2 linked regions of the Oryzias latipes genome follow. The protein of the gene in region 1 binds, or shares a complex with, the protein of each later gene. Links are inferred from orthologs where the notes say so. Each region holds a gene or a part of one and is shown in the gene's direction. Other genes may lie near its edges.

What was found.
Region 2: the proteins of qtrt2 (region 1) and qtrt1 are in contact, whole or in part, in a crystal structure (PDB 7OVS), measured with the Mus musculus proteins. The link is inferred for Oryzias latipes from reciprocal best matches to the Homo sapiens genes QTRT2 and QTRT1. Residues at the interface, in NP_001343258.1 of Mus musculus: Arg39, Thr40, Gly41, Ser42, Ala43, Pro44, His45, Leu46, Thr47, His48, Gln49, Thr50, Asn53, Glu70, His71, Glu73, Val74, Glu77, Tyr78, Phe85, Ile86, Gly87, Phe119, Gln342, Glu343, Phe345, Tyr355, Asn359, His360, Ala363; in NP_068688.2 of Mus musculus: Thr50, Thr53, Met54, Lys55, Gly56, Ile57, Thr58, Thr59, Glu60, Gln61, Ser64, Arg80, Pro81, Leu85, Lys88, Ala89, Phe95, Met96, Asn97, Ala307, Lys308, Phe310, Pro320, Thr324, His325, Ala328, Phe329, Ala332, Leu333, His335.

What each region holds. Positions count from the first base shown.
Region 1 is NC_019878.2:17,734,497-17,740,540, forward strand, and holds the start of qtrt2 (queuine tRNA-ribosyltransferase accessory subunit 2), read left to right. Parts: upstream 1-2,226; 5' UTR 2,227-2,428; intron 2,429-2,513; 5' UTR 2,514-2,516; coding exon 2,517-2,719; intron 2,720-3,314; coding exon 3,315-3,370; intron 3,371-4,415; coding exon 4,416-4,492; intron 4,493-4,687; coding exon 4,688-4,897; intron 4,898-5,169; coding exon 5,170-5,369; intron 5,370-6,044. Other genes in the region: ccdc191 (coiled-coil domain-containing protein 191), read right to left, coding at 1-117, 748-883, 955-996, 1,682-1,744. UniProt on the Homo sapiens protein: Non-catalytic subunit of the queuine tRNA-ribosyltransferase (TGT) that catalyzes the base-exchange of a guanine (G) residue with queuine (Q) at position 34 (anticodon wobble position) in tRNAs with GU(N) anticodons (tRNA-Asp, -Asn, -His and -Tyr), resulting in the hypermodified nucleoside queuosine (7-(((4,5-cis-dihydroxy-2-cyclopenten-1-yl)amino)methyl)-7-deazaguanosine).
Region 2 is NC_019866.2:9,401,036-9,406,935, forward strand, and holds the start of qtrt1 (queuine tRNA-ribosyltransferase catalytic subunit 1), read left to right. Parts: upstream 1-2,299; 5' UTR 2,300-2,333; coding exon 2,334-2,621; intron 2,622-2,697; coding exon 2,698-2,766; intron 2,767-2,848; coding exon 2,849-2,987; intron 2,988-3,066; coding exon 3,067-3,261; intron 3,262-4,027; coding exon 4,028-4,166; intron 4,167-4,256; coding exon 4,257-4,332; intron 4,333-4,418; coding exon 4,419-4,528; intron 4,529-4,856; coding exon 4,857-4,941; intron 4,942-5,690; coding exon 5,691-5,843; 3' UTR 5,844-5,900. Other genes in the region: dynamin-2, read right to left, coding at 1,645-1,805.

The sequences.
Region 1 (6,044 bases):
TTGCAGCAGTGGCAGCAGAAGGTCTCCCTTCATCAGGACACATCAGGTCATCCTCATCTTCGATTTCCAGGTCAATTCGTAACTTACTGCTCAACCAGTTACTCAAAAGAGTCTGAGCTGCAACATGAACCAAATATGTCAAAAGGTTTGTGACAAATGATCTTTTCCAAAACCAAACTCATCTCATTAGAAGCAATAAATACATTCTCCTTTTTTTTCTTTTCTTGTCATGTCCATGCCATTATTAGCAAACCGCTGACAGGCTGCAATGTTATTTTTAGAGAGCGGTGACTTTCTTAATCGCAGTTCTGCCCTGCTGTATTGCTGTTCCCTTAATGGCCCTGTTCACATTGTCGACTCTTGCTTAAAAAAAAAAAAGTTGGTTTTGTGACTTTGAATACTCCCATTGTCCTTCTGCAAGTACAAATGTTTGACTCATTTATTTAAAAAAAGTCAGTTAAAATCAATTTAGTGCTAATTGACATTTGCCGCAAGTTTTAGTGATTGTGTTTTTTCTATTAGAGATTTTTTAACCATGTCCGCCCAAATGAAGAGTTTTTCTTCTGACAAACTCTCAAAATCCCTTTCAATGTGATTCCTGTGCTCTGAAAATAAAGCTATACCCACGCATTGCAGAGTGGTGGTTAATGAAATTTCCTAACTGCTCAGTAGAAAGTGCAGTACCGCTGTGCAGCCTTCTTTCACACACACCCATTTGTTATCATTATGTTTTATAGACCAGCTTACCTTCACTGTAATCCTCATCATGATCCCTTAACTGTTCCGTGCTGTGCATTTGTGTGGCTAACCCCCTGGTTCCCAAATGAGGCTTTTTATTTGCAAAAACTTGAGAAACTGCAAACTCAGAAGCCATCTCGACTCGCTGAAAGAGACAAACAGCTGACCAAAATGTAACTGATAAAATAAATCCTGACCAATAAATACTTTTCTAACCTTCTTCCAGAGATCATTTCCACCATTCTTGTCAGGTTTCTGCTTTTAGAAGAACAAATATTTAAGGTGAAAGCTGCTTCCATTGCAAAGAAAGCGTAAAGCTCTCAAAGTAATATAGGTCGTATGGTCACTTTTGCCTGTTGGAAAATCCCCAGACTAGTTTAGTGACACCTTGAGCTGTGGAAACAGTTTTGAAAGGGGGGTGTCTGAGCCAAGAGCCTGATATCTGCAGATTTTTTCCACAGAAAAGCTTAGCTATTGCCTTAAATCCACAGATTACCTCAGAATCATTTCCCAGACTTCAAAAAGTCATTGCTCACCAGCAGCGATTCGGCTATCTTAGTCTCATACTGCAGGGGTGTACAGCTGCAAGCACAAGAGTATCAAAGAAAGAACTGTGTGTGCGGTTTAATCTACTGACATAAGCTATACTTCCATATGCTGCGTGAAAAATCTGACTCTCCTTCATTTAAATATGCAATTTCAGCATGCAACTACAATTTCGTTTATATTTTTTATCTTTTATCGCTGCTGAAAGATCTGGGAGGTTAAAGAGGGCTGAGAAAGGATTTAAGATTTTCAATTTAGATAGAATTTATCTGACCACCTATCATTTATTTTGAGAAGCATTAGGTGACTTTTTTTAATTGCTTTTTTTCAGTAGAAAGAAATGATTACAGACAGTCGATTCTTTCGATTGACCAATTTAACAGCAGTCCAAACTTACCTTGGTTGCAGAACTAAGCCTTTTCCACCTGAACAGGTGAGGATTGTTGCCAGAGAACGCCATCACAAGTTCTACACCTGTAGATCTAAAACTCCCTAAACCTCATATGTATTACCTTTTTTTTTAGTTTGGTCAGTAAAAAGACACATTTAATCAAAAGGACTGTCTATTTCTTAAGTGGAAAGTGTTCGAAAGTTATGCCGAAGTACAGAGAGCTCAAGTCAACACCATCTAATAACACAGGACTATGGGTAATGTAGTAGATTAACAGTTTTTCTTGGTGAAAAGTATCAAATAAGGAAAAAAAAACTACATGTCCCACAAAAGCCGTACGTTTGAAAGGTGATCAGTAACCATGACAACCCCATTCCCTTCTGCAAACTTGACGACAGTCTTCTAATTCGTGACATTTTGTTCTTTTTGTTAAGGTATCTGTTAAATAAGAAGAAACCCCACGCATTTTTTGAATTTTGACATTTTAAGTAAAAGAAAAAGTAGAAGCCCGGACTGTGAAAGTTTTTGTCAGTCGTCGCTCGTGATGACGACATATTTAAGCGACTTGTAGTTCATATCCTGCACAAGTTTTTAGCTAAAGGAACAACAACAAAAAAACAACAACGATTATCTTGTTTAGTAAATGCAACGTTTAATACCTTAAAAAGGCAAATTTATAAGTCGTTGCAAAACGTTTGACCTCAGGGGATAAAACTACTTTAAACAGCAAAAGATTTGTTAGCACTGTAGCACGTGAGTACAAATGCTAGTTTAGCTAGCCACGCTGCTAGCCCCCACGTTCATTGAGACTAAGCCGAATGTTTTGTCGAACTGCAAGGTGATGAAGCTGGAGCTTTCCCGTGTGATACAAGGAGGCGCTCGTTTGGGTGTTCTGCAGGGAATCGGGAGGACTGGTCAGCACTCTCTTAAGGTCCCGGGATGTTTGCTGTACACACACTTTGGCACCGTCCCGCACCTCACTCAGGACACGCTACAAACTGTCAACAACCTCCCTTCTGTCACCCAGGTCACTTTGTCTAACATGTAAGAGAAACCCATGCTCATGAAAACCTATTTGCACTCCAAAAAAATTTGATCGTTGTCTGACTCCTTCATTTTTTTAAAGATTATTTTTGCTATTTAAATTCAATATCCTTAAATATAATAAAAACAAACAGAGAACTGGGGGAAAACTTTGATAAATATAGACAAGAAAATCTAATTACTGGAAAATGTTGGCATGGCACTGAAAGCTTTATTGGTGAAATAACTTCAGAGTTCTTGACTTATTTCTGGAGTATTCCATACTAAAGAGACAGCAAAGAGGAAATCCCCTTGTAACGGAGTTAGAAAAATCCAAACACTACATTTGGAGTACTGCCTGTTTTTTGGATCTAATAACTTTGTAGGATGGTTGCGACACAAAAGATGTGTAAAAAAACAATAAAAGCAACTAAGTTTGAGCTTTTAGATCCCTACACTTTTAAAGAAATCAAAATATTGACTTAGTCCCATCCATTTTTAAACTATTCAATTCCTGAAGTGCATGTAAACCTGTCAAATCCTATTGGTTCAGCAAAAAGTCTTATTGCCTGGCTGAGCCTGTTTTAACCTGCATCTCCATCACGTGTCTCACCAGAGCAGAGCACCAAGAGGTGCTGGAGGAGTTTAAGGAAGGATTCAAGGCGTTTGCAGGTACTAGCCATGATTAGTTTCTTCACTTGACTTGACTTGACTTCACTTCACTTTTCTTCACTCCATTTTAACAATATTTATCTGACTGACCGTACATGAAAATGAAAGACAAACAATATTTAATAGACATAAAGAGATGCCTTGTTTAAAAAAAAATAACTATTTCTACCTCTGTGGGGCTGACATGCATTTGTTAAGAATAAATTTATACCATGTAAACAATAACAAAATACTTTTTTTGAAAATCTACTTTGATATAAACTTTTTAATAACGTGATCTTGCTCTTTTTATTTCAAATAATATGTGGTGTTTTGAATTGTATAGTTATTTTTTCCCCCCAAAAGTGTGTTTGTTAGTCTGGTTAAGTGATGTGCATACAATGGGTTTTAAAATTGGTGGCATCTTACTTTCTTTTTGCTAATTTTATTGAACTCTTATCTGTCTTTTATGTATTTTATTGCCTTTTTTTCTATTGTTTTTTTTTTATTTTTGTTCTTTATCTGCTCAATTTAAATATTCTTTTAATTTTTTTTATTGCAAATCTCATTTTTACACTGGTGGAATTCTAAAGACCTATAGAAGTAAAGTTTCATTCATATCCGTATATGTTTCCATTTTTTTAAGCAAAGAATGTTTTAAATCGCAAAATGATGCAACAACAGGTTTTAGGAGCAGTTTATTTACAGCAGAAATACAAGTTTTTCCTAGTTGTATTTATTTGCATTTATTTAAATAATCATCGGGGCTGTTAAATCTTTGTCTCTAGACCTCAGAGGTTGAAATTTACTATACATTTTATTATGAAAACACAACCTGTCCCATACATGAGGAATGAAATTTAAACGTACAATGTTTTTGACTGAACATTAAAAAGTTTTTAAAGCTTTACATGAAAATGCTATCAACATTGTCATCATGTCTGAGGACCAGTTTTCTGTGTTTACTCATAGAAAAGCAGCACTTCTCTTCTATTTTTATTTTGTCTTCACCCGCCACACGTACTTTTTCCATGTTGTGACCATAATGTACTGATTCTCTTGTCAGGGCTCCACAATACAGTACTTTACTGCTCACTGCATGACCCTGCAACACGCAGCCCGACGGGTTACGCCACCAACAAGGTGAGCTGCAGCTCCCCCTGACGTGTTTGCCTTTGCACACACATCCTCTCTCACTCGGCTGTAGTTTCAAGCACAGTTAATGCGAAAATATACAAAAAGAAATCCTGATCTCAGTTTTGAACAACAATGTTTTATTTGTTGTGACACTCCATGGCAGCATGTCTCCTAACTTGATATTTCTGCTGTCTCACACAGACGGTGTCCGTGTGGGGCAGTGGTGGGCGGATAGAGCTGACAGCGTCCAAGTTCATGGCTCTCCTGAAGACGGTGAAGCCCGACTGGTATCAGAGCATGGCAGATGGAGAGACCTGGCAGACCAACACTTCTCGAAAAAGGATCCGGAAGTCTGTGGATCGAACTTTGGCTTACTTGGATGAATGCCTGTTGGTGCACCAGAAATCCCAGGTACACACATTCACTAAATGCGTACATCCTTGAGCAGTCCTCCTTTTGAGATCCATACTGAGTAATGTCTGGGTGCTGACACAGCCACTTTATTCAGACTAGCATGAATATGTTAGTGGATAAAGACGCAGGAACAAGCCTCAGTAATGAAAAGGATGCTTTTCTTCCTTTATAGATTGTCTAGTCAGCCTTTTTGTCGTCACGTTTGGTATACATTCTGAAACATTTTTTTTTCTTCGTTTTTTATCACCACTCTGTCTGCCTCGTTCCAGGACCTGGATGGAGTTGAGTTGTTTGGGGTGGTGGAGGGAGGAGACGTCATGGAAGAAAGAGTCCGCTCAGCCAGGGAGACGGCGAAGAGGCCTGTGGCAGGATTCTGCTTGGATGGGCTCCAAACAGGCTCTGTGGACCAGGCTCTGAGGACGCAGCTTATCACTTCTATGACCACGGAGCTGCCTGAGGACAAACCAAGGTTTGCTCGCTTCAGCATCGGTGTGGAAAAACACAACGTTTTTTTAATTAAAGTGATTTTTTTTCCTGAAAAAGAAATTTAAATATTTAACAAAAAACAGATGAAAAGATGTGGATCGAAACTCTGAGTGATTCGGTTCCTTTTTTTTGGTAGAAGTAAAAGTAAAAAAGATGTTTGTGAACAAAAAAAAAAAGAAAGAAAAACATGATTTGCTCTAAAGACAAGAAAACTCAAACAAACATGTTGTTCCATCAGTTGTTTCCATAATTCACTTCCTGATTAGATTTCTTAGTTTTTTTTTAGTCATAATTAAAGTCAAAGTCATAATTAGTAAGGTTAAAATGACAAATATTTCTCTGGTAAATACATCCAATGATAATGACTGAGCATTAGGGCCAACATGGAAAAAAAATGCATAAATATGTGAGAATAAAGTTGTATTATTTTAAGAGAAGAGTCAAAATATTACGAGAATGGTTTTACAATAAAAAAAATACTATTTGTGAGAATAAAGTTGTAAATGTGGGGCTCCAAAAGTTGTAATTTTACAAATAGAAAGGCTTGCTTTTTCTAAATGAAATTAATTACATTTAACTTTTAAAATGTTTTGACAAAGATAATTGCACATTACCTGTTCAATTTATGTTACAGACAATTCAGAGAAATTGGATGAAC
Region 2 (5,900 bases), on another chromosome or scaffold:
AGCAAACCCGTTTCCTACCCGCCGCCGGCCTGTCTGTTTATATGATTCCAATTGCAAGATTGCCATGTGGGTTGGGTTAAACTGTGGAGGTGGTTCAATGGGTTAAAAACCTGCTAAACAAGAATTTTTGGTGCGAGCTTGTTTTTGTTTCTTTATCTACACACAGAGTGATGTGGGAGAGGACACAAAAGACTGACTTGTGGGGTATGATAAAGCTGAACTGTTAAAAGCTCTGAAACATCAAGATGCCAAACTTTAGGGAATGACCAGGGGGATGCCAAAACCAATTTCCTTAAAATTCTAAACTAGACAACAAAAAAAAAAAAAAAAAGAGGAAGATAATATAGGAACTTCTTACTGGCACAGCCCCAAAATCAGGAAGAAATTCTAATCATTTTTTTAAAGAAACACTGTGCTGTAAATGAAAGAAGAAATAGTTTAAAATGCAAAAATACACACCCAACGGGAGGACAAAAAAAAAAAAATCACCAAACCTGTATAATCCACCATTCTGGAGTTGAATAATCAGTGCAAAACTTTAGTCTTAATTTCTTTTCCTTGTTTAGTCCGATTGCCATTTGTGTTTCAAGGTGTGCAAATGTTTTTATTGTACATTTTTAAATTATTCACTAAAAATGACTGACCATAAACATCTAAGTAGGTCAATAGTTCAACTCAAAATACTCATCACTGTGTCCTTTCCCTATACGCTAGTTACAGAGGTGGGCACTGAGGGCCGCAGTCCTGCATGTTTTCCAGCATACCCTGCTCTGGCATGTTCTAATTGGCTGGACACACCTGAACCAGGTAATCAGCCATGAGTAGGGCAAGAGTATCTGGAAATCATGCAGACACACCGGCCCTCGAGGCCTGGAATTGCCCACCCCCGCCTAGTACTTAGTTTGAAAGTCCACATATAAAACTGGAAATATCAGATTGTGTGATTAGACTTAAGTCAGTTATCAGTTGTGAGGATCAGTGAATGAATCAAGATTAGTGTAGATTTCAACCTTGATATCTATGAGATCACTACTGTTTCAATAATGTCCCCATTATTGTTCATCTAATTCTATAACAAAAAAATCAACAGACTAGTGTCTATTTAACCAAGATTTACCTAAGACCAACATCCCCAATAATGAAAAAAAAAATGAAGAAACTAAACTCCACCAAAAGGATGTAAGGTACTGGTTTTTCTTTGCAGTAGCAGCACTTTGAGGTCAGGTTTTGTAGTACAAACAGGAGCATTCAACCAATACACATCGAGTGCTGTAAGTTTTAGTGGTTACAAGGGAGGGAAATATAATTTTGAACTTTTAGGTTGTCCTATCAGTTTGCCTCAGCAAGCAATGCCAGCGCCCAGGTGGCTTTGAACCCAAGCCTCAAGGGGTTAAACTGATTGTACTAGCCTGTCACCTAAAACTTGTCGCAAAGTTGAGGGTTTTTGGACTATCAGTAAAATCGACGACGTGTACTATGTACGTGACTTAATGTTGACTTTACTGCTGGGGCAATTTAGTTTCGGCATAAAAAAGGCGTGTCCACATACGTCAAACGTATTCAAATATACATTTATATCTGGTAAAAATCCATCAAAAAGTAGTTCTTATTGATAGGGAAAAATACAAGTGTACTCTTGCCTACCTGCCAACAAAATTCTCCAAGACGGAGCTTTTTCCAGCGCTCTGTCCACCAACAACAGCAATCTGAGGAAGATCTAAATTACAACTCTGACCAATCGAACTAAAGGCGTCTTGAAGCTTGTTGATGAGGGGAATTAAATCTTCCATTCCCCGGTTCCCCATGGCTTCGTTAGCTCTGAGAGCGCCTTCAATTCAACGTAAACCGGAGGCTAACGATAACCACGCTAACTAGCTAGGTAACGTTAGCTTAGCAGAAGCTACTATCTGTCGGGTTGCTGCTCTCAAATGTTGAGTTCCGCTTGTTCAAATGGTTCAGCCGCTAATTTTCGTCGTTCAAACTCGGGTCGTCTGCCTTTAATGTCGTTCACGCCAACATAATGCCGTGCTCTTGACGTGCATTAAATAAAATCTTAGTCAATCAAAGCGCACAGAGAACTCGCAAAACAAAACTTCCTCTCCCCAAACGCCATCCGGTCAGCATAGACGACATCCGATCGAAACCGGTAACTAAAGCCACGCCTCTTTTTTCTTTTCTTTTTTTCCTCCTGTTAAACTCGGTCGCCTATTGGCTGCTTTTGAAGCTTTCAGGTGTGGCGGGGGTGTGGGTCCTCCCAATAATGTAGTCCCGATCTGTGATTGGTCAATTTGTGTGTCACTTGTTTTTGCTCCAGGTCACATGTTCAATGAAAGATGGCTGCCACGGTGGAACGTGTAATAGTTTCAAGCAATCCAGAAAACAGCATGTCTTTGCAGAAAGCGTTGTCTGCAGCTTCTCCCCTCACTCTGCGAATTGTCGCGGAATGTCCGGTGACTAAAGCCAGAGCTTGTGATCTGACCCTGCCGCACTGCACCGTCAATACTCCGGTTTTCATGCCGGTCGGAACACAGGGGACCCTGAAGGGGATCACTGTGGATCAGCTGGAGAGCCTTGGATGTCAGATTTGTCTGGGAAACACATACCACCTTGGTATGCGACCTGTAGGTAACCCAGTTAAATTGACTAGGCTTTAACTCGCTATGGAGGAGAATGATAATTCATGTTTTCTCTTGACAGGGGCCTGATTTGATCGTAAAAGCCAAGGGTTTGCATGGTTTTATGAACTGGAAGAGGAATCTTTTAACCGTGAGTGTTTATTTACTTCCCTGAATAGATTGCAAATTATTTATGGACACTTTTTTTTATAATGTTTGTGCTCTTCTTGTAGGATAGTGGAGGGTTTCAGATGGTATCTCTTGTTGAGCTCTCTGAAGTCACAGAGGAGGGGGTCAATTTTAAATCTCCTTATGATGGCAAAGAAATTTTACTAAGTCCTGAAAAATCCATCAGCATACAGAACAGTCTAGGTCAGTAAATTACCTCAAAAGTATTTTAAAGTATTCCTCCGTGTTGCTTATTGATGTTTGTTTTTGTGTCTTTTCCCAGGCTCTGACATCATGATGCAGCTGGATGACGTGGTCAGCAGTACCGTGAAGGGGCCCCGGGTGGAAGAGGCCATGCACAGATCCATACGATGGCTGGATCGCTGCATTGCAGCCAACAAAAACCCTGACAAACAAAACCTCTTTGCAATCATCCAGGGCGGACTGGATGCAGAGCTGCGGAAAGCCTGTCTAAAAGGTAACAACCAAGCCTTCAGCTTTAATTAGGACAACTTGGTAGGAGGAGAAACTCCGTTACAGCTTATGAAATTTGGGTCAATTAATGCACAAATTCTCCAAAAATAAACATATCTACTTGTGAATTCCTTATAAATGTTTTGGTTGTTGTACCAAATTAGCAGAAGGCATTAACATTTAATATGACCAACAATTTCTTTTATTTATTTACAGACTGAACTTCTGTCTGTTTTGTTGTTGGCTATCAAGTGTTGTAACTTTAACTTAGATTGTATTTCTTTTAGTTTTTTATGTATTTATTTATTTTTAGAAACATACACCTTAAGGTTCTCTATTTGGTCTCTGTTTGCTACTTTTTTTTTAATAAAAGCCTAAATGTGTCATTTATATGGGCTAAACTGGCTAAAGCTAAGGGTCTGTCCTTCTTCCTGTGCTTTCACTTAACTCAAAAAATATTTTAATATAATTAATCATATTTAACCCATAATGCCTTTCATCTAAATCTAAAATGCTCGATTTGATATTCCAGATTTTATGTTCATACCTGGGATTACTACAGAGAAAGTAACTTATAATGCAGATGTGTATGTAGCACATTGTAGTTCTAAGACAGTAAAATTGTAATGTGAATAGCATTAATAATATTTAGATATGTCAATATTTACATATTGAGCAGCGATACTTGTTTTTTTCTATAATTGTGGGTTTAGTTGTGTCTGAGGTGTTTTTCTGCTGATGTGAAGTTTCTCTTTCTTACTTCTTTCTAGAAATGACTCAGCGGGACGTTTCGGGTTTTGCTATTGGAGGTTTAAGTGGAGGAGAGGAGAAGAACGACTTCTGGCGAATGGTTACTCTGAGCACTGACCACCTCCCACAAGAGAAGCCTCGCTACCTCATGGGCGTTGGGTACGTTTCTTTGTACAAACTAACATTTATTACAAATGAGTGGCTTTGGTGCCATTAAATCACAGTTTGTGATGTCTGCATGTGTTGCAGGTATGCTGTAGACCTGGTTGTATGTGTGGCTTTGGGGTGTGATATGTTTGACTGCGTGTTTCCGACCCGCACTGCAGTAAGTGCTCTGCCTCCTGTGCTAAAAGACAAATTAAAAAATATATATATTTGTATATTTATATATTCCTTGCCTGTTTCTATCAGAGGTTTGGCTCTGCTTTAGTGCCATGGGGATCTCTTCAAGTGAAACAAAAGCAGTATGCTAAAGACTTCCTGCCTATAGACCCAGACTGCCACTGTCCCACATGCAAGAGGTAAAGGAGGAAGTCATCTTTACTTTAAAGAGTTGTTTGTTCCCTCAGCTCCTCAGGTTCATAGATTAAACTCGTTTTGAACTAATGCAATTGTTTTGTGGCATAAAATTAAATTTCAGGATTGGAAATTGTGGTAAAAGTATTTGCAAACCAACAAAGCAAATGTACAGCTTTACTTTGTCCGTTTTCACATACCTTGCAGTATGCAAGGTTACAGTGTATTGCAATCTTTCATAAGTAATCATTACACTATTATTGTTCAGTAAACCGATAGAAGCGGCATGTTTCATGCTAAATGGGAAGAAAACCTTTTCTTTTTTCGTTGCAGGCATAGCCGGGCTTACCTGCATGCTTTATTTAAGAGTGACACTGCAGCCATGCATCACGTCACCGTCCACAACATCGCCTACCAGGTAAGTGATGGCAAACATCTAATAAAACTTGCAAAATTATTCAAGTTTTGTTTAGTTTGATCATTTCAGTATTTTTCACTCTTTGGAAATCCACCATAGCCACTTTTTTATGTTTCAAAGTTTAATTTCTGTGTTAAAAGTTTAACAACAGAGTCTAAGTTCTATTCAAACACAAACTTAACTTTGTGTTTTATTGGTTACATAAATGTAGAGTTCTGCTCTAATTAAACATTGCTTTCTCTGAACAGTTAACGTGCTGTTTTGACGTTTAAAAAAATCCATAAAAAGCCCCACCTTTACATGTTATGATGTGCCTTTGTCTGCCATTACATTGCTTTAGTGTTTTTCCAATATAAAAGTGTTACATAAAACCTTAAGTTTCAATGTACATTAGTGTGCTGGGAGAGATCGTCAGGTGTGCTGTGGGAAATTATTCCATTTTCCCTTAATTGGCCTAAAAGGGTTTACTATTACCAGGATAGCAGCTCTGTGTTTATCCAAACCGCCCAGGTTTCACACTGAGTAGGTAGAAATATTAAAGATTGTGTTTATTTGATTCTTATTCAAGACACCTTAAGAGAGACCAAATCTCTTTTTAATTTCTACTTTTTTGTTTGGTTGGTGGTGTGCCTTGTTAATATCATCAAAGAAAAAATGTACCTCGGCTCCAGGTTAAAAACACTGACATGTCACAAGCTGACTTTTGTTTCTGTTTGCTGCCCTAAACTCTCAAACATCTGTCTTTGCAGCTCTCCCTGATGCGCTCTGTAAGACAGAGTATTGTAGAAGGCCGTTTTCCTGAGTTTATAAGGACCTTCATGAAGCGGATGTTTCCTTCTCGGGATGATTACCCCGGCTGGGCTGTGGACGCTTTGGCTTCTGTAAACGTCACTTTGGACTAGAACCTCGAAAGCATTTGTTTGTTTTCTTAATGAAAAAAAAAGACAAAAAAGAATATA